Linked DNA regions of Caenorhabditis elegans. The protein of the gene in region 3 interacts with the protein of the main gene of each other region in a pairwise test. Each region holds a gene or a part of one and is shown on either strand. Other genes may lie near its edges. The genes, in order: gst-19, gad-1 and nhr-111.

Region 1 (3,753 bases), on a different chromosome or scaffold from region 3:
TTTCTATCTTCGATTCAAAAAGTTTACCGCAGAACGACGCAGTGGAAAATCCAAGGAAGAACTTGAAAAGATCAAATCCGAGATGTTCTTGCCTGCTAGAAATACCTACTTCAACATCCTTAATGGGCTTCTGGAAAAGAACAAGTAGGGATTTCTCCTCGGGAGTGGCATCACTTTTGCGGATCTTGTCGTTGTTGATAATCTGGAGACTCTGAAAAACTACGGGTTCTTTGAAGCATCGTAATTTCCAAAGCTGGGCAGCTCTTCGCGAGAAAGTGGTTTCTTATCCAGGAGTTAAGGAGTATATTGAAGCAAGTTCAGTTGCCGAATATTCATTTTAAGCCATTTGTATTTATGTATGTGTCATGTGATTTGAAGTGTAAAATAAAAAGATTTGACCCATAATTATAAATTCATTTATAGAGAACATAGAAAAAAACTAAAAATCAGAAGCTGTACGACTAGATACATATTCCTTGATCCCTGGCTGCGAGTACACTTTCTCTAGAAGAGCCGTCAATTTCGGTTGCTCCGATGCATTCAGAAATCCAAAGTTTCTAAGAGTCTCCAGATTATTGACGACTACAAGATCCGCGTAAGTAATAGAATTTCCGATCAGGAATCCGGACTTGCTTCTTTCCAGCAGACCATTGAGAAGCTTAAAGTAGGATTCCATAGCTGGGACTACAGATTCTGACACAACTTTTGCGACTTCTTCCTCTGATTTTCCGCCACGCTTTGCAACCAGGAACTTTTTGAATTCTACGAAGAAATCCTTGAACCGATCGACTACGGCGTCCACCCAAGCTCGATCCTCTGGAGTTTTCCCAGCAAATCCGAATTTCAGAGCAAGGTAGCGGAGAATTGCAGCAGATTGGGGGATCTCAAGTCCGTCGACGCCTAGGATGGGTAGCTGACCCATTGGGGACTCTGGAATTGGAAAAATATTTTTTCTGGGCTTTGAATGTTCGTTAATAATTTTTGAAAAATAAAAATTTCAACAAATTTGAAAGCTGAAAAAATTTTGAAAGGTTTTAATTTGAGTTTCTTTCAAAATAATTTTTTTTTCGACATTTTAAACAAGGGGTGTGCGGCAAATTTGCCCAATTTGCCGAATTTGCCGATTGCTGAGCTTGGCAAATTTGCCGAATTTGCCCAGCACTGTAAATTTTCGAAAAAAAAACAAGATTTGCCGGATTTGCCAATTGCCGAGCCCGGCAAATTTCGAAAAAAAAGTAGATTTGCCGAATTTGTCCATCACCGCAATTTTGCCAAATTTGTCCAGCCCGGCAAATTTGCCGAAGTTGCCCAGAACGGAAAAAATTCGAAAAAAGTAGATTTGCCAAGTTTGCCTTTTGCTGAGCACGGCAAATTTGCCTAATTTGCCCAGCACGGCAAATTTCGAAAAAGTAGATTTGGCGAATTTGCCGATTGCTGAGCTCGGCAAATTTTCCGAATTTGCCCAGCACTGTAAATTTTCGAAAATAAAAAAAAACAAGATTTGCCGGATTTGCCAATTGCCGAGCCCGGCAAATTTCGAAAAAAAGTAGATTTGCCGAATTTGCCCATCACCGCAATTTTGCCAAATTTGTCCAGCCCGGCAAATTTGCCGAAATTGCCCAGAACGGAAAAAATTCGAAAAAAGTAGATTTGCCAAGTTTGCCTTTTGCTGAGCTCGGCAAATTTGTCTAATTTGCCCAGCACGGAAAATTTTGAAAAGATAGATTGCCGAATTTGTCGAGCTCTGCAAATTTTGAGATTTGCCGCACACCCCTGTTTTAAACCTGTTTATTATATAAAATTTAATTTTTTGAAAATTCAAATTTTCTACCTAAAAAACTATAAAATAAAACCCAAACTCACTTGACTTCACAGCTCCCCACTCCTCAAAACTAAACCGTTCATCTTTAAACGGGCAATCAGCTAGATGGAACAAAAGTCTCACCGGCTCGCCGAGCCCACGAAACGGGAAATAGGTAAATTTGTAGGAAGGCATGATTGTTTGAATTCTGTCATGGTGGGCATAGTTGTTTATATATGGCCCTGAACTAGAGTAAACCTCAATGAAACAGTGCATGGCTAAAGTCACGTCCGTTTGTCTAGGCGTCTGCGTCTTGGTTTCTTTGAATTTCTCTAGAGTCACATAGTATTATAGTTATAAACTTCACTATCGAAAAATTGAAAAAATGATATATATATGTATACATTGACGGTTTGCCGATCTGCCGGAAATTTAGATTTTCGGCAAATAGCCAATAATTTGCTTACTTTCCAAAATAGATGTAGGAAAATTCAAGATGTTTTGCTGATTAAAATTGAAATTCGGAAATTTCAAAAAAATGTGCAAAACCACAATTTGATTTGTTTGCCGATTTGCCGGAAAATTTCAATTCTGGAAAGTTGCCGGTTTGCCGGAAAATTTCAATTCTGGAAATTTGCCGGTTTGCCGATTTGCCGAAAATTTCAATTCTGGAAATTTGCCGGTTTGCCGATTTGCCGAAAATTCAATTCTGGAAATTTGCCGATTTGCCGGAAAATTTCAATTCTGGAAATTTGCCAATTTGCCGAAAATTTTAATTCTGGAAAGTTGCCGATTTGCCGGAACATTTCAATTCTGGAAAGTTGCCGATTTGCCGAAAATTTCAATTCTGGAAATTTGCCGGTTTGCCGATTTGCCGAAAATTTTAATTCTGGAAATTTGCCGATTTGCCGAAAATTTCAATTCTGGAAATTTGCCGATTTGCCGGAAAATTTCAATTCTGGAAATTTGCCAATTTGCCGAAAAATTTCAATTCCAGAAATTTGCCCGTTTGCCGATTTGCCGGAGTTAATTGTTTGTCGCCCACCCCTGATATGTATATATATTGTACTATTACAAAAAATTTTATTTAGCAATTAGTTTTGGAAAAAAAATCAATGCTCAGTAAATGGACGATTAGCAATATAGTTCTTAAGAGCCGAGTGTGAATACACTTTTTCACGGAGAGCTGCCAATTTTGGCTGCTCTTCAGCCTTGAAAAGTCCATAGTTTTTGAGACTGTCTACATTTTCGGATATGGCAAGATCTGCCAAAGTTATGTCATCTCCAACAAGATATCCTGACTTGTTCCTCTCCAAAATACCATTGAGAATTTCAAAATATGGATGTCTAGCAGGAATTAGGATCTCAGAGGTGAGCTTTGCGAGCTCATCGGCTGGAAGTTTGTTTCGTCTTGCTCGGATCATTTTTCGGAAGACTTCGAAAAAGTCTTTGTAAAGATCAGTTGTAGCGTCTACCCAGGCTTGATCCTTTGCGGTTTTTCCAGCGAATCCGAATTTTCTGGCAAGGTAGCTATTGATTGCTCCAGACTGAGGAATTTCAAATTCATTGGGGTCGCTGTAGTGTGCATTGGGGTCGCTGTAGTGTGCATTGGGGTCGCTGTAACAATTTTGCTGGGAATTTTTTTTTGGAATCCTTCTGAAATTTCCGAAAGCAAAAAAAAACTCACTTTTCTTCTTTTTGTCCCATTCACAACTCGGAAAAACCATACGTACATCTTCAAAAGGTACTCCAGCTGAATGGAACATGAGCCTCGCGGGCTCCGCGAGCCCACGAATCGAGAGAGAGGGTTTTCTCCAAGAGTAAATGATTCGCTTTTCCACCAGTTTTTCATAACATTTTCGGCAACTTTGCAAATTGCCGGAATTGAAATTTCTGGCAACTTTGCAAATTGCCACGTTTTTGTTTTTGGAAATTTCAGAATTTCAATTTTA
Region 2 (3,753 bases), 9.7 Mb from region 3:
TTGATTCTCCATCCAGTGACTTCCTTTTCTTCTCCTTCCTCTCCGCGCGGTTGGAACATTTCGAGGGAAAGAGCTGAAATATGAAGATAAATATTTTTCGAAAAAAATTGTTTAACTTACGAGAAAGAACCATATCTTCTCGAACAACTTCAGATGCGCGATTTCTTTTGAGTGGCTTCGTCACACATGACATAACTCCTCGCTGTGACATCGTTTGATCGTAGTACACGTGAATGGTGCCATCCGAGAGTCCAGCGATAATTTGATTCAATCGCGGGTGCCACTGAATTCGGTGGCACGAAATTCCAGGGTAATCAATTTTATAGACAAGATCAAATGTCATTGGATCAAAGAATTGTAATGTTCCAGGTGTATCCTTGTTGGGTGACGATGTACCAGTGAAGACAACCTCGGCACGAGGGGAGAATCCGCAATCAGTACTACAAAAAATATACTTATGGTGAAGTTTTTAATAGAAGGATACCTTTTGAAAGCGTTTTCGAGACCGGTTTTCACAAGAAGCGGCTCTTTTGGGTTATCTAAGCTCCACATCTTCAGAGTGTCATCAAAACCTCTAGACAGTAATCTCTTTGAATCGGGCGAAAAAGCAATAGAAGTAATCGAGCCGTTGTGAGCTTTGCGTACAAGGTAATTTACATTGACCTAAAATTAAAATATGAGAATAAACAGTGTTTTTGAACTTCAACTTACATATTGCGATCCATACTTCCATGCTTGAACAGATCCGTCATCACAACCGGCGGCAATCCATTTTCCGTCAGGAGAAAACGTGCAAACTTGCGGGCTGACACGTTTTCCATTAGCTCCTTTTGTTTTGATGACTTTCCTGTGCTTGTTGATGCATTTGGTGATTACTTTATGATCATCGAGGTTCCATAGTCGTAGACTTCCATCATCAGAACAAGAGATAAACTCGTTCTTGTTTAGTGGATTGAATTCGACACAGTTAACTGTTGCTGTGTGTCCTTTAGTGATGTTTAAATCAATAATATACTGATCTCCACGAACTGTTTCAGACCATTGTTTTCCTGCTCGATCCAGTAGGCGAATGATAGCTTCTCCACTAGCTACTACAAGAGTTTCGCCGTTCGGAGAGAATGCCAGGGAATTGATAACGTGACTTTCTGCAGGCAGAAGCTCTTTGTCGTATCTCATTGACATGTCCATTTTTTGAAAATCGAACAGCTTCACGTAATAGTCAAGCCCTCCACTGGCAAACCGAACACCAGGAGGCTCAACCCGAAGTGCACTGATGGCTTGAGTGCCATGGCTGATCTTCGCTTCACATGCAGCTGGAATCAGTTTGATGATGGAGATTGCTTCTGTCTCGTCAAAATCGCTATCATCACTATCTTCGGGACCTTCAGCTCGAGACGAGGAGGGGCCCGCTTCAGACTGTTGCATTTGGAATCCTGGAGGTAGATCTGGCATGAAATCTGGAAAAAACAAATTTGAAATAATTAAAACATTATATTCGGCTTACCATCTTCATCATCAGATACAGCTGAAGAAGAAACACCAGATTCTGATTTAGAAGACACCGATACCGACTGCGGAACGTGAGTTGGTTCCTCAGTTCTGGGAGCATTGCTTATCGTTTGCGCGAACATTGCTTGGAGGTCAAAGACGCGTGCCTTCTTTTCAGAATTCTTTTTTGGAGCCGTATTATCATCCATTGTGGTGATCTGAAAGAATTATTGAAATTCGTTTTCATCTATTAGGCGGTAACGGGAAAAAAAGAGTTAATAACGAAAAGAAACGTGTAATACAACCAATATAATGAACTGCCGTGGTACATATATAATATTTTGGCGAAAAAAACTAATAAATTCTGGAAACAGTCCTGGAGTTCTGATGAAAGCTGAAAAATGTTTTCGAATTTCGAACATTGAGGACGTGGCTGACTTGTTTCGGAGACTAGGCCGCGGAGAAAGTGTGGACAATCGGACATTACTTCGCGCCGAGACCCTTCCACAAACCGTATTCGTGTTCCTTGGCACCATTTAAATTCTTTTCCCATTTTCAGTTTTTAAAGTTTTTACGCGTCATCAATTATCGATTTTTGCAGTTTAAATTGTTCAGAAATGTTTTATTCATCATTTTGTCATTGCTCAGAGAAAACGAAATACATTTTCTTCTAAAAAAATCAAATTGAAACCATTGCAACATGTTGCACAATATTCTAATTTTCCATCACAACTCTGTGCAATGTAGAATAACCAGTTCTCTATAAATATCTTTTTTTTCGCATTTTTGAGTTTCTTCCCCGAATTAATTACTTTAACTCTCTTTTCGTGTTTTATATAATACAATTACAGGTAATCGGTGACGTGCAGCACAAATAGAATATGAGCGCTCCCGCAGCAGGTGCTACCGCCGGAGGCGATGACGCCGCCGATAGAAATGTCGAAATGTGGAAAATTAAACGGCTCATCAAAAGTTTGGAATTAGCCAGAGGGTAACTATTTTCGTGAAGCGTTTATTTTACATTTGTTTTTTTACAGAAATGGAACTTCTATGATTTCGCTGATCATTCCACCAAAAGATCAAGTGGCTAGAATCCAGAGAATGTTGGCCGAAGAGTACGGAACGGCATCTAACATCAAGTCTCGTGTCAACAGACTTTCCGTTTTGGGAGCTATCACATCAGTACAGGGAAGATTGAAACTCTACAACAAAGTCCCACCAAATGGATTGGTCGTTTACTGTGGAACAATCATGACCGACGAAGGAAAGGAAAAGAAAGTTAACATTGATTTTGAGCCATTCAAAGCAATCAATACTTCATTGTATCTCTGCGACAACAAATTTCACACCGAAGCTCTTCAAGGTATTTCTAATTTTCATCATGCATCATAAAATATACCATTTTTCAGGTCTTCTTGCTGACGATAACAAGTTCGGATTTATCATTATGGATGGAAACGGTTGTCTGTTCGGAACACTCCAAGGAAACACTCGTGAAGTTCTGCACAAGTTCACTGTCGATCTTCCAAAGAAGCACGGTAGAGGAGGTCAATCTGCTGTCCGTTTTGCTCGTCTCCGTAATGAGAAGCGGCACAATTACGTCCGTAAAGTAGCTGAAAATTCGGTGGAACAATTTATCAAGAACGACAAGGTTACAGTTGCTGGACTTATTCTTGCTGGTAGTGCAGATTTCAAGACAGAGTTGGGACAATCTGATATGTTTGATCAAAGACTTCAAGCCAAGATGATCAAGACTGTCGATATTGCTTATGGTGGTGAAAATGGTTTCAACCAAGCTATTGAACTTGCTGCCGATACGCTGGCAAGTGTTAAGTTCATTCAGGAAAAGAAACTGATTGGTGGATATTTCGATGAAATCAGCCAAGACACTGGAAAATACGTTTTCGGAGTTAAAGACACTCTTGCCGCACTTGAAATGGGAGCTATTGAAACTCTCATCTGCTGGGAGAATTTGGATATTGTTCGGTACAAGATGAAAAATTCACTCGGAGAGGACATTCTTCTGAATCTGAGACCTGACGAGGAGAAGGACAAATCTCATTTCACCGACAGTGAAACTGGACAAGATATGGAAATTATTGAGACTATGCCACTTTTGGAATGGTTTGCTAATAACTACAAGGTGGGCGCTCGCTTTATCGAAATTTAATTTTTTATTAATGTTTTGTAGAACTTCGGAGCAGCTTTGGAAATCGTCACAGATAAGTCGCAAGAAGGAGCCCAGTTTGTTCGAGGATTCGGAGG
Region 3 (3,753 bases):
ACTGTTTTGACTTGTAAAAAAACTGTTCAAAATCGTTGTAACGTTTTTGGAAGTATTTCAACTGATCGAGAAGAAAATTGTTTAAAAAATTTGGTTGCCTTGGGGGAATCTGGAGAAAAAATAGGAAAGAAATTTGGGTTTGAACATTGTTTTTGAGGAAACAGTTGCAAATTAAATGAAAATCTCTAAGCCAGGACCTATGCCAAGGCCTAAGCCTTAGCCTAAGCTTAACCGTAAGCCTAAGTCTAAGCTTAAGCTGAGCACTACTAGTGAGCAAAATGGGGGTAATGTGTGCATATAACAGCATCAGAAAAATAGTCAAAATTTAAAGAAAACTAATCACAATCTCACAAGCTTTAAGATCCAGGAGAGATTCAAGCTGTCTAGTAGAATAGGATTTAAGCTCGCCGAGGAGAAATAGAAGCCTTCCAGATTTGGACTTTGAAGACTCCAGGTGCAACTGATTGAGAAGGCCGATACAGATATCAAGTTGGCGATCGAATTTGAGATCAGTGCCATCTTTGGCTGAAATTTTAGTTTCTGAAAGCTCAGCAGCTTTTCTAGTTAAACTTACTTTCCGTGAAAATAATAATTCCCTTCAAGAGGAAATAATCCTGCGCCGAAAGTTCGAGGGATTTGAATTTCTCAGCCAGTTGTGCAAATTTTTCATCGATGAAGATTTTTTCGGAGTTTTCGAACAACGCGAGGCACAAAAGATGTGGCCACTGGGTCAGTATGATCTGGCTCTGGAAATTTTTTTAATGACTTTTATGTTTGGCATTTAGACCTTTTCAACATCGGAAAGCACTGCGAAGAGCGAAAACTGTTGCACCCACTGGAGTGCGTTTTTCAGATGAACTAGCACGGAGCTTGTGTCCTGAAATTAAATTTGTGGTGTCTCAGGTTGATAGTTTGTCTCCTGATTAACTAACAATTTCATGTTGAGCATGTTCGTGTTGGAATCTGAGACGATCAGAGTGAGTAGGCAGAAGTCCCTTGGAATACTCTCGGAATGAGGGCAACTCGACATACTCTACAGTGTAGCTATGGGAAGTTCTCTCGGGTTGCACAGCTGGAAAATAATTATTTAGAGACGAAACTGTGTCGCCTTCGCCGGCTTCAGGAGGCTTCTGCCGGCCTCAGGCCTTTGTTAATATGGTGCGGCGCGAAACTCAAAAAAATGTCGGCCACTGAAAAATACCTACCGCACTATATGGTGCAAACACAAAGTTAATGATCTGAAGCCCAAACTCAGAGAAGCAGCTTACCATTCTTATTCATCCCCTTCTTGAAGCACTTTTTAATTCGACAGGACTTGCACCTGTTCCGGTTCGCTTTATCAATCACACAGTTTCCGTCTCCATTCCAACATCCATGTACCAACTTGTTTCTAACGGTTCTTCTGAAGAACCCACTGCATCCGAAACAGGTTGGCACACCTAAAATTCATTGTTATCTAGTTTCTAAATCTTCTTTCCAACCGTAATGATTTCCGTTAGAAGTGTCCCCACAAACTGCACAAAGCGTGATTGGAAGAGTTATGTTGTTTTGCGCGGGGTCATTTACAATCTGCGGTTGGATGACCAGAGGCACTGAAAGTTATAGATATGCGTGAAAGATTGTAAATCTTCTGTCATAAAACTTTTGAACTAAGTAAATTGAGAAGCTGATAAGTGCGGTCAAGTTTTGTAAGCTTCTGGTTTTTCTACTTACCGCCCGCAAACCTCTGTCAGGTTATAACGTAACTGGGATCTAAATAATGGAAACATAGAATACATTTTTGAGATGTCAACAAGTATAGTACAAAAATTGCTATCAATCTGTTCGAAAATGTCAAAAAAATTCCAAAATCTAGAAAACAACGTTGCAAGTTTGTTTTCGACTTCTAAAAATTTTCTGATATATTTTACCAAATGCTTTCATTTATACATTTCGGTGAGTTGAGTAATTATCTAGTTAAAGCATGAAAAAATTTTTCGATCCCATAAATTGGGGCATACCTGTTGAAGTTTCCAAAATGCCACCGATTGACTTCGCATTTTGGCTGCTCATCTTTTTTTGTTAAATATTCTCTCGTTGAGTAAGTTGAGAATATCCTGTCAGTATCTACAATAATAGCATAAAAATAATTTGGTTACTGCTCAACTTCTAATCACGACTCCTCCCACTTGACCTGTTGGAGGCAGCCGGCTTAGTACAAGAAGGATAAAGTGACAGTTAGAGAAACGAGAGAAAAGGTGCCAAAAGTTGAGCAGCAATCTCTCTAAAATTTTTTGCAGATATACCATACTTCAGATCACTTGTGTATTTAAAGTTGAAATCAATCAGAAGCAAACATTCACTAGGGAATGATCGAATTGAAATAAAATTTGGACTATAAATTGTTGAGTCATAGAAATGCGGAAATTGTCCGCTGGAAATATATGATATCACATTTTCTGAAAGCGGAAATTTTCGTAATATATGTCATTTTTCATTTAAATACTTTTTCATTTTAAACGAAAAATGTCTTTAAGCTAACCTAGCGCAAAAGATGGTGGAAAAAAAACTGAGATCTTCATTGAAAATTTCAGAATATTCAGATTTCGATTCAGTTGTATATTTAATTAAATTCTGAAATTTGACATACATTTTCCAATTACGTACTTTTCAGATTTTGGTCATTTTCAGTTAAATGCAATAAAGATATAAAACTGTAAAACCTATGTATAGCATCTAGTATACTCGGAAACAAGTATTTTCTCACATTCAGTTTCTAGTCAAAAATATCAAAACGCTCTCAATGTGAAGCACAAAAGCCCAGCAAAAAATTGACTGAACCGCACCAAACACATCTAAAAAATGCCTACTGCTTCCTAGCCTACACATGTGCTCACCATTTCCCGCAGCTATTCCTTTTTATCGAATCGTACGTCGTTATCCGTCACTGTGTTTACACAAGTCTAATTTTTCAGAAGAGCATATTAATCATCATTCCATTTTTTATGGCTCCCTACTGAATGGGGTGATCAAAAACTGAAATTATGCAAACTGCAAAATTCTACTTTTGACCTGAAATTCGAGCCGTCGGTCTGTCTCAAATTTATTCAATACAAAAACTTTTAAAAAAAATCATATTTTTTAAAATTTAATTTCAGTCACTGTCCACAATCTTCTTTTTTGTCAATCGAAAGTGTTCTGTGCTAAAGTCCAAGATAAAATCTGTGCCATTCTCGTTATAATCAATTTTGGCCCGTTCTTCTCCTTCGTAGTCCAGAATGAAAACTCTCACTATTTCGATAATGTTGGTTTCGGGGAACTTGAAGCACCCGTTCTCGAAGTCCACTGATTTTGTGAGCAACTGAAAATAATACTTGGATTTTTTTTCGATTTTTTATTTAAACTTACATCTCTCAGTTTTACTGCATCCTCTTTTGAAAAGCAAGGTACAATTACATAGAACTCTCTGAAATGGAGCATATCCTCGACAGAAACCTTATAACTCTTCCAGAACGAATCAAAAACTTGTGCTCTTTTCCATTGCTCAAGTTTAGCGATTTTCTCGAGATCTGTGGGCTCATTGGAAAGCAGCTCAATTTTTTCAAGATATCCAGCTTTTAGGAAAGGGATCACTAATAGAAGCTGCTCCTCGGAGAAATCTGTCCCATGAAACTTTTTAACGTGTAGGCAAGACATGGAGGATTTCAAAACATCAAGAAGAGTTGAAAAATAAGTCCCAGTTTGCTCAACATCAACAGAAAGCTGAATCGGAAA

The links.
Region 1: the proteins of nhr-111 (region 3) and gst-19 interact in a two-hybrid assay, tested with the Caenorhabditis elegans proteins (2 studies listed by BioGRID).
Region 2: the proteins of nhr-111 (region 3) and gad-1 interact in a two-hybrid assay, tested with the Caenorhabditis elegans proteins (2 studies listed by BioGRID).

The regions. Positions count from the first base shown.
Region 1 is NC_003280.10:13,625,146-13,628,898, forward strand, and holds gst-19 (glutathione transferase), read right to left. Parts: upstream 2,001-3,753; 5' UTR 1,997-2,000; coding exon 1,864-1,996; intron 931-1,863; coding exon 440-930; 3' UTR 400-439; downstream 1-399. Other genes in the region: gst-17 (glutathione transferase), read right to left, coding at 2,914-3,418, 3,489-3,508.
Region 2 is NC_003283.11:6,431,791-6,435,543, forward strand, and holds the start of gad-1 (Gastrulation defective protein 1), read right to left. Parts: upstream 1,707-3,753; 5' UTR 1,698-1,706; coding exon 1,505-1,697; intron 1,458-1,504; coding exon 712-1,457; intron 664-711; coding exon 485-663; intron 441-484; coding exon 121-440; intron 74-120; coding exon 1-73. Other genes in the region: erfa-1 (Eukaryotic peptide chain release factor subunit 1), read left to right, coding at 2,370-2,479, 2,526-2,851, 2,898-3,631, 3,680-3,753.
Region 3 is NC_003283.11:16,122,730-16,126,482, forward strand, and holds nhr-111 (Nuclear hormone receptor family member nhr-111), read right to left. Parts: upstream 2,111-3,753; 5' UTR 2,053-2,110; coding exon 2,001-2,052; intron 1,593-2,000; coding exon 1,482-1,592; intron 1,440-1,481; coding exon 1,269-1,439; intron 1,073-1,268; coding exon 933-1,072; intron 878-932; coding exon 788-877; intron 747-787; coding exon 575-746; intron 526-574; coding exon 326-525; 3' UTR 166-325; downstream 1-165. Other genes in the region: fbxa-143 (F-box domain-containing protein), read right to left, coding at 3,134-3,340, 3,388-3,753. UniProt on the Caenorhabditis elegans protein: Orphan nuclear receptor.